2 linked regions of the Mus musculus genome follow. The protein of the gene in region 1 purifies or fractionates together with the protein of each later gene. This does not show direct contact. Links are inferred from orthologs where the notes say so. Each region holds a gene or a part of one and is shown on either strand. Other genes may lie near its edges.

Evidence for each region.
Region 2: the proteins of Slc34a2 (region 1) and Endod1 purify together in Homo sapiens (co-immunoprecipitation; 3 studies listed by BioGRID and IntAct, counting the BioPlex papers as one, with this or other methods). This does not show direct contact. The link is inferred for Mus musculus from reciprocal best matches to the Homo sapiens genes SLC34A2 and ENDOD1.

Annotation. Positions count from the first base shown.
Region 1 is NC_000071.6:53,048,020-53,052,152, reverse strand, and holds the start of Slc34a2 (sodium-dependent phosphate transport protein 2B), read right to left. Parts: upstream 2,801-4,133; 5' UTR 2,757-2,800; intron 1-2,756. UniProt on the Homo sapiens protein: Involved in actively transporting phosphate into cells via Na(+) cotransport.
Region 2 is NC_000075.6:14,378,443-14,382,701, forward strand, and holds the start of Endod1 (endonuclease domain-containing 1 protein precursor), read right to left. Parts: upstream 2,801-4,259; 5' UTR 2,529-2,800; coding exon 2,229-2,528; intron 1,049-2,228; exon of another isoform or gene 952-1,048; intron 1-951. UniProt on the Homo sapiens protein: May act as a DNase and a RNase. Plays a role in the modulation of innate immune signaling through the cGAS-STING pathway by interacting with RNF26.

The DNA of each region.
Region 1 (4,133 bases):
TCACTCTTGCTACCTGCCAGAGCAGCAGGCTTTGAGGAAGAAACATTGAATCTAACAAGGTATCAATTGCCCAACTAGACCAAGAATGATCACAAGGGCCCCAGGTCCTGTGGCTACCCTAGGCCCACTTCTACAGAGCTGTGGGCCTCACTCTTGGCTCCATTTCACACAGGCACACACAATGCCAAGAGGAAGTCAGTCCTCCTGGCAAGCTCAGAAGGGGAAACCTCTGGGCTCTTCTAGGACTCAAACTGGGAAATGTGAGGCACCTGGCTGCCATCCACGCCCTTCACTTTGCATTCTTTGAGCTTCTCCAACCAGGACCTGACTGGGACCAGCTGTTTTCAGAGCTTGCCCAGCTAAGATCCAGGGATGAAAAAGTGAATCAGCCCATGCCCGTGGTCCTGTGTCCTCTCACCAGCTATGGCCATAGCACAAGAATGACCACTGAAGTAAAGGAGAGCAGTTGTCACTGACAGGCAGCCCAACATCAATTGAGACTGACAGGCTCTGTGTACAGGCTCTGGCATAAGTCCTGTACACAGATTAACTCACTTCACTGTCCAGCATTTTCAGGGTTGTCTCATTGTTTCTAATTGGTGGACGGTCAGATACACCATATAATCCATAGAAGTCAGGGCAATTCTTCCATCTCAGGCTCAAAGTTGCAGGAGTTTAGCACCAAACTCAGCTAATGGTGACCTGAGGCCAACTTTTAACACAGAGGGAGAGATCTGCTTTATGCTTACCATTTAGTACTAACTGTAGGACTACCCGAGAGAGGAAACCTGAGATACAGAAAAATGTTCAAAGTCAGAATGAAAGCAGCTCTGGACACAGAAGAACTCCACACAGCTAATGTTAAGGCCTGAGGAGTTCTTCTGCTTTTGGCAGAATAACCCAGAGCCACTGAAGGTGGAGGGCTGCTGCTGCCCCTTGGCTTCCTGTAAGCCTCAGAATAATCCCCTGAAGAGGAGGGAGGGGTGTGAGCAGAGGGGTGTGGCACTAGTGGTGCATGCCTGAAAGCCCAAGGCTGCAGAAGCTGAGGCAGGATTATCACAGGTCTCAAGGATGGTCTGGGCTACAACACGTACTTGCTAAAAAACAAGGGGGAGAGGGCAGACTGCTTCTAGGTCTTGCAATTAGAGAATGGCTTTTAGTTTTAGATTTTAGGTGAAAGATACTATTTAAGATATTTAGCCTAACACTACAAACTTGTGCTCACACAGGCTGCTACAATACCTTTTTAAATTTGTAAAGTAAATTTCAGTCAGGTGTGGTAGGTCAAGTCTATAATCCCAGCACACACTTGGGGAGGCGGAGACCTAACTAATTCAAGACTAATTGGAGGTCTGGAGAGATGGATCAGCAGTTAAGAGCACTGACTACCCTTCTTGAAGGTCACGAGTTCAAATCCCAGCAACCACATGGTGGTTCATAACCATCTGTAATGAAATTGGACACCCTCTTCTGGTGTGTCTGAAAACAGCTACGGTGTACTTACATATAATAAATAAATATCTTTTTAAAAAAGGACTAATAGGACCTACACAACACTCCATCTCAAAAACCCAAAGGCTAGCTATGTAGCTCAGAACAGCCACTACGAAGCATAAGATTCTGAGTTCAATCCTTAGGCTGTCAGTTAGTTGACCTGTAACTATTCTGCCCTGTTTGGGGGAGTTAAAAGCTAAATTTGTAAACCTATGTATGCGACAATCTTTATTGAAATCTAGTATACTCCAAATCAGATCCCTCAAATACTGTTTTGGGGTGTTTTGTTTTGTTGTTTTCTTTTTCATAAACTCAGGCTATTCTGTGCCTGAGTCGTGGTACCCTGGAGGGGTAGGGGAGGGGTAAGGGAGGGAGGTAACTTGTGTAGCATCCAAAACTATTACAAAGCCTGCCCTTCTTGCCCCGGCTTACAAAAGCTTGTAAAACAGAAAAGGTCATTATCAGCTGGCATAGGATAAGACGGTCTCCTAGTCCCAAACAATGCTTACTGTGGGGAGGCTCAGGTTTTCCAGAAATGCCTAACTGAGAACAAGTTTCAGTCTACAAGACAGGAAAGCAGACAGATGACAGAGCCACCCTGCTAGCACAAAACTCTCCTGAAAGGACCTCCCCCCGCCCCCAAAGTACAGGACCGATGATCCACGGGTTTTAAGAAAATGCCCACAGTACCTATGGCAGGCACCTGTCCCTCTGGAACTTTAACTCCAAAACGGGCACTCCTCCTCTGGCTTGAGCATACTGTCTCCTCCGACCCTGTGCATATCCCTCTGCCTTAAGAACCAGAAATCAAATCCTGCTCAAGACATCTGAAGGGCAAAAGCTTTTGGCCAAGTCCCCCCAGAAGGGTCTGCATCCTCCAGCAGCCAGAGCAAACCTAGAACTTGCAGGAAAAGACCCAGGTGTCATGAAGAGGGCCACTGCACGTCAGGGAGTCACACGGGTAGTAACCCAGACCAAGCATGAGGCCAGCCCGGCAGATCCTCCCACCCCAAGCCACAGACACAGCTAGCAGGTGAGGCATGTCCACCTACACTAGTTCTAAGAGTTGTCCTGACAGCAATCACAACCATCTTTTAAAAAAAATCTGAAAGTTTAAGATGATGTGCTCTCATATCCTCCTCTGCAGCCCAGAGCCAGTCAAGTCCCTTAGGGGTGTCTACAAGAATGAAGTCACTTAAAAATTCAGTGTAGGTCCTTGAGATCAGAAGCAGCCGGCGGTAGCGGCCGACCGGTGTACTCACCAGCGCTCCCTTCGCAGGTAAGGGACAGCAGGAGGCACCCAGGTGGAGCGCAGCTGAGCGCCCGGTATATATACAGCGAAGGTGTTGCGCAAAGAGGCCGGCGGCAGTCGCTGTCATCACGCCCCTCGCACATTCCAGGACCGCCTGCTGCCGCCGCCACGGCACTGCCTACCTGCCGGCTTAGTGAGCCCATCGCGGGGAGAAACCTCAGACCAGGCCCGCAGTAGGAACGGCCGAACCGCCTGCGCCCCGGTGGCGCCCCGCGCGCCCCGAATCCCTGCCTGCCTCCCTCACACGCGGGAGTTGCTGCGAATGCTGACCACCAGCTGTGGGCCTCTGCCCTCTGCCTCGTTCTCCCAGAGTCTCTGTGCCGTTCCGTCTCCAGGGCTGGAGAGGTTAGACACTGAGCAACAGATTGTAAATTCAGGGACAAGATTCTTCTTCTTCGCAACAAAGCCAGGATTGTTCCAGGTGCCTCTGCCTGGAGACCTGTCTGGCTTGGGCAGTTAGAACAAGGTCAGCATGGAACTTAAGACTGACTGCTAGGGAGTGGCGGGCCTGGAGAAGGGGTGCTTTCTCTACAGTGTGGGTGCCCTGGGTCAGTCGCCCCCCATCCCCATCTCTACCCACTGTAAGGTGGCCTGGAGATCAGCCCCAGGAGGCCCCCCCCTTCCCCCCAGGCTAGTACTGAACAAGATGGAAACAGTGGATTTAGCCTCAGATCAGAGCTTCAAAGCCTTGCCTCAGAGGCCCAGGAGCCAAGATTAAGTAAGGCACGGGGTAAGGGCACAGGCTCACACAGGAACTGCTAAAACAGAGCTAGTTTTGCCTCAAACTCCAAGTACCCATAACTAATGTTTGGAGGTGCGCTGCCCTGGGCTAAGCTCTCAGGATCTTAGCTGCCTGTCTTCAGTTCCCTGCTCGCCCCCCTTGCCGTCCCCTCCTCATTTTTCTCAGTGTAAAATGTGTGTCCTTGGTTCACAGCACTCAATATTTTAACACTGTCCTTCCAGAGTTGGAGGACTAGGAAGGTTCTGAGACTTATCACAGGTGCCAATACTGTCTACAGCAGCACAAAGCACAAACGACTCAGTTGGAGACAGGGAAGAAAGCTAGCCTGCCTGGTGGCCCTGTGGAGGAATAATGTTTGCTCTACAGGACAAACTAAGGAGTTCTCAGCAAGCACCTCTCAGAGCACAGGCTGGAGTAAACGGAGTCCACCCCCACGTGACCACCACGGAGTTCAGCACAGCCTGTAGCCAGCGGAGGGCAGGGCAGGGCAGGCTGCACTCTCCACCTACGCTGTTCCCAGGAACCCTGAGGCCTTCACTCACTGGTCATCTATCCTGTGACCCTGCCTCACAGTGGCTAAAGGCT
Region 2 (4,259 bases), on another chromosome or scaffold:
GGATTGGCAATAGAAACTACTTGGAAGCATCTAGAAGCACACAGATCCCTGAGCAGGACTTACAGTTAGGCACTGGCTCAGAGGCTGGTGTTGAAACAGAAGTAGAAACAGCTCCAGAGACCACCTGCATTTCTGTCTCCTCCCTCCTTTCCCCTCCCTCCACTGCCCTCCCCTTCCCTTCAGTGTTCTTTGGATCCCCTTGTTGACTTCAAGGTAGGTTACTGTGGAGCCCACCATGATGCAGAGAAAAGCAGCCTCAGTTCTCAGCCTTGGCAACTTTCGAAGGGCATGGCTTGCTCAACTTGTCTGTTTTAAGACAGTCTCATGTAGCCCAGGCTGGCCTAGAACTCACGATGCAGCCTGAGGATGACCTTCACAATCTGAGCTGAGTGCTGGAACTATATGGGTGACCACCTTTTATGCAGTATTGGGGGTTAAACAAATATGGCTAAGTGCATGCTGGGCAAACACTCTTCCCTCTGAGCCACAGCGCAGGCCTCCAGGACTGTTCGGAAGTCAGGACATCTCACAGCTCCAGCTGCCCTTAGAAACTATTCCCTTTAGCTCTCCTCCCCCATCCCCTTACTCCACCCAGGGTGCCCACAGCCTCCCTGTCAAACACTGTTCCTTGTGACTCTCTTAATAACAGGTCCAAGGCTCTGCCTAAGTCTCCTTTGGTGACTCCTTCACCTGCTCCTCCCTCCCATGATTGCTCTTTGAGTCCCTCGGTTCCGGGGCGCATAATCCAGTATTAGTTTACCTGCTCCACTCATTCCCAAGCAATGATCCAAGAATCTGCCACACCCATCTCATACAATACCACTCTGAAATTCCTTCTTCCTCTCTCCTGAACCCTGCTAATCCTTCCACACTCAGCACAAATGCCAACCAGACCCTAAGCTTTCCCCTATCACGTTACCAACAGATTAAATCTACCAGGACTCTGTTTACCTTGGTGAAATTATGTGTCTTCTGAGCATCACAGCAGCAGCTAGTATTATGGGTCACTGGAGAACTTGGAGTCCACACCAGTCAACAGGGTCAACTGCTAGTCTCGAGGAAGCAGGATTTGAATGCACACAGGGAGGCAGCAGTTGGTCACTGGGTATATTCAGCATTCGCAGGACTTCACCCTGTTATGTTTGTCCACTCTAGCCACTAATGAACTTAATGAGAATGGACTGGGTTGCTGCTTTCTTCCCAGACCAGGGGTACATAAAGAACTTCTAGGGGTATACTGAGGGAAAGTAAGTTTAGATCGGCACATATCTTCCCTATATGCACAAGCTAAGAACTCTTTCTACTGGCCTGAGCTCAGAGATCCTTACAGCAGGACGCTGGACACAGGAGGATGTGAGAAGGTAATATTGGTGCAGACTGCCTGAAACCTGCCTGGCCAATGGTAGCTGGAAATATGACCAAGGTACAATCCATACTTTCAGGTGGAGACACCTGAAAGCCAGAAGCTTTGTATTGGTGGCCGGCAGGAACCAAGGGCTCTGGGACACACAGGGCTGGAAGGCTGGGGAGAAGTCAGAGAGGCAGGACAGGGTGTCTTACTGCGGAGACCTGGCAGAGGAGAGCCAGTCAGCAGTTTCTGTATGGCCCATGGAAGGCTTTCTCGGTGTTTGATCCCTGCCGCCAGACAGACCCAACACTGTGAAAGGTCACTTGATTGCAATGGTCTGATAATCTACAGATACGAAGATTCAGGAAAAACTGGTTTGTCCTTTCTGCGTGGGTACTACCCCCACTGAGCTTCCCAAAGTCCTTGCACTGTCAGAAGCTTTCCCCTAGCAGAAAGGGCAGTGATTTTCTAGCCTCAAGACCAGCTCACTCATCTCACCAGCTGGGTGGTCTTCTGCAAGCTCCTTCACCCCTCCTTGTCTGGAGCTGCTTCCTGTAAAGTGGGGTGAACTTGCCCACCGCCCAAATGTTGCTGAGGGGATGTGGGCGGGCCTGGGAAGCTTGTGCTTCCCGCGGATCTGCCCGGTCTTGGCCACCAAGGGCTGTCTCCCAGTTCATGTTCTCTACTACCCAGGAAACCAACCAGACACTGCAGACGTCTGAGCCCAAGAGGAGGGAGGGCCATCTCCTCGGGGAACCTCCCGCCCCTGCGGCTTAAGTGGAGACTCCCACCCAGGCAAGGCAGGCTGCAGTTTGGGGATGGGGAGACGCTGGGGGGTAGATCTGAACTTCAGATCCCGGTTCTCCCGAGTCCTGCTTACCTGCGGCTCCAGCAGCCCGCGCTGCTCGGCACTGCGGGACGCCGGGCGCGCAGCGCGAAACGCGGAGAACACGGGGATGCGGTGGCCAGGACTGTACAGAGTGGCGAAGCGCTCGGAGCCCGCGAAGCGTTGACAGATCCTCACGTGCGCTTCGGTCGCCAGCCCGGCGGGTGGGGTCCCCTTGTAGAAGAAACGGTCGCATTCGCCGAAGCCCGCTTGCTGCGGGAGCAGCAGCCGGGCCTGCAACAGCCCTGCCAGGGCCAGGAGGCCGCCCAGCGCCAGCCAGCGCGCACAGCCCATGGCGGCCTCTGCGCGGCCGGGCGCCGCTAGAGCAGGGAAGTCCGCGGTGAGCCTCTCTGGCGGGGCGGCTCTGGGCCAAGGCCGCGCCCCTTCTCCGCCTCCACCCCGAAGATGGCTGCAGTGCTCAGCCGCGGCTTTCTGCGGCTGCACCCACCCCTGGAGACCGGACACCTGCCGCGGCGCTGCTGTGTGCCAGAGCTCCCCCTCCGCGCTGGACTGGCTTAGCCCAAGGGGCTGTCCCCAGGGCTGGCGCTGAGAAGTCGGACCTTGCGTGCACCAGGTTCCTCCGGGATGGGGAGATGTCCACAGAGGAGACGGTGCCTACCCTTCCGCATCAGACCCCAGTTAAGAAACCCTGTTAAAGCCGGGTTTTTGGTAGAGGCAGGGGGATCCGTAAGACCCTGCTAAATAAATAAATAAATAAATAAATAAATAAATAAATAAATAAATAAATAAATAAATAAATACTGATAAAGGAAGTTCTTAGGCAGACAGCACAGCCCGGCCGTGGTTTACTTGGTATGAGCATTAGATATCAAACCGAAACTCAGAAGGGAACAAGACAGCCAACACCCTGTATTCATCCCACTGCTCACATGCCTCTGCACACCCCCACCTTGAATTAGTAGAGTGATAACCGACAAGAGCAGGATCTCTGTTTGGTGAGCCTAGTATTAATTAAAAAACAAGCAAACAAACAAACAAACAAACAAAACATGCTGTTTACGGAATCACTGAAAACCCAGTGTTAATCCACTGCGTGACTCCTACAGGGTTTTAGGATACAGTGAAGGAAGTTGGCCTGAAAAGATGATATCTGAACTGACACCCTGAGGAAGGCAGCCCCAAGCTGGACTTTCCCAGAGGGGAAAAGAATGTGGGAGGGACTTGAGACAGGCTGGTGGAATAAAGAGCAGAGGAATCTGGCTGGGATGTGAGCAGAGTGATTGACTAGGATTAAGAAGCCCAGCCCCGGTTCCCACTCCCAGTAAATAACTAGCTGTGGTGGTGTGCACAGGGACCAGGAGTTCAAAGGCAGAATGGGCTTCTTGGACCCTGACTCAAACTGAAGTAATTAATTTAGTTTAAAAATAAAACTGAGGTCTGGAGCAACAGTATACATTAGGTTAGGGAACTGAGAAGGGCGACTTAGGCTCGTAATTCCGGGACAGAGGTTAAGACCAGCCTGGACTACAAATCAAGACCGTTTCAACAAACAAACAAACAAACAAAATAAATAAATAAAACATCACTGAAAGCTTGGATCTTTCTACCATAACCAGGTTGGGGAGATGGCTTCATGGTCACAGTGACTGCCACGCAAACTTGGCAGCGGGGGTCCAGATATAAGCAAGAGGATCTGTTTGCGTTTGATGCACAGAACCTGAGTTTAAAAAGAAAAGCAGGGCAAGGTGGCACAGACTTGTGATCTCATGTTGGGGGCACAGAAACAGCTAAGTTCTTGGGGCTTGAAGATCAGCTTGGCTTCCTTGGTGAGCGTCAGGTCAGTGAGAGTCAATGTGGACAGCTCTAACACCCAGGACTCTAGCTGTGTACATATCTCTGCCCCACTGCCTCAGACCCACAGTAGGCTTCAGTTTTATCCAAGCCTCCTGTGGGCTGCTGCCAGATATAAACATCTAATGTTGATAATACTGTCGACTTGACTTCCTTGTGCTCATAGCAAAAGACACTGTTTTTGATTTTGCTTTTGATTGCTCACATGTTTAC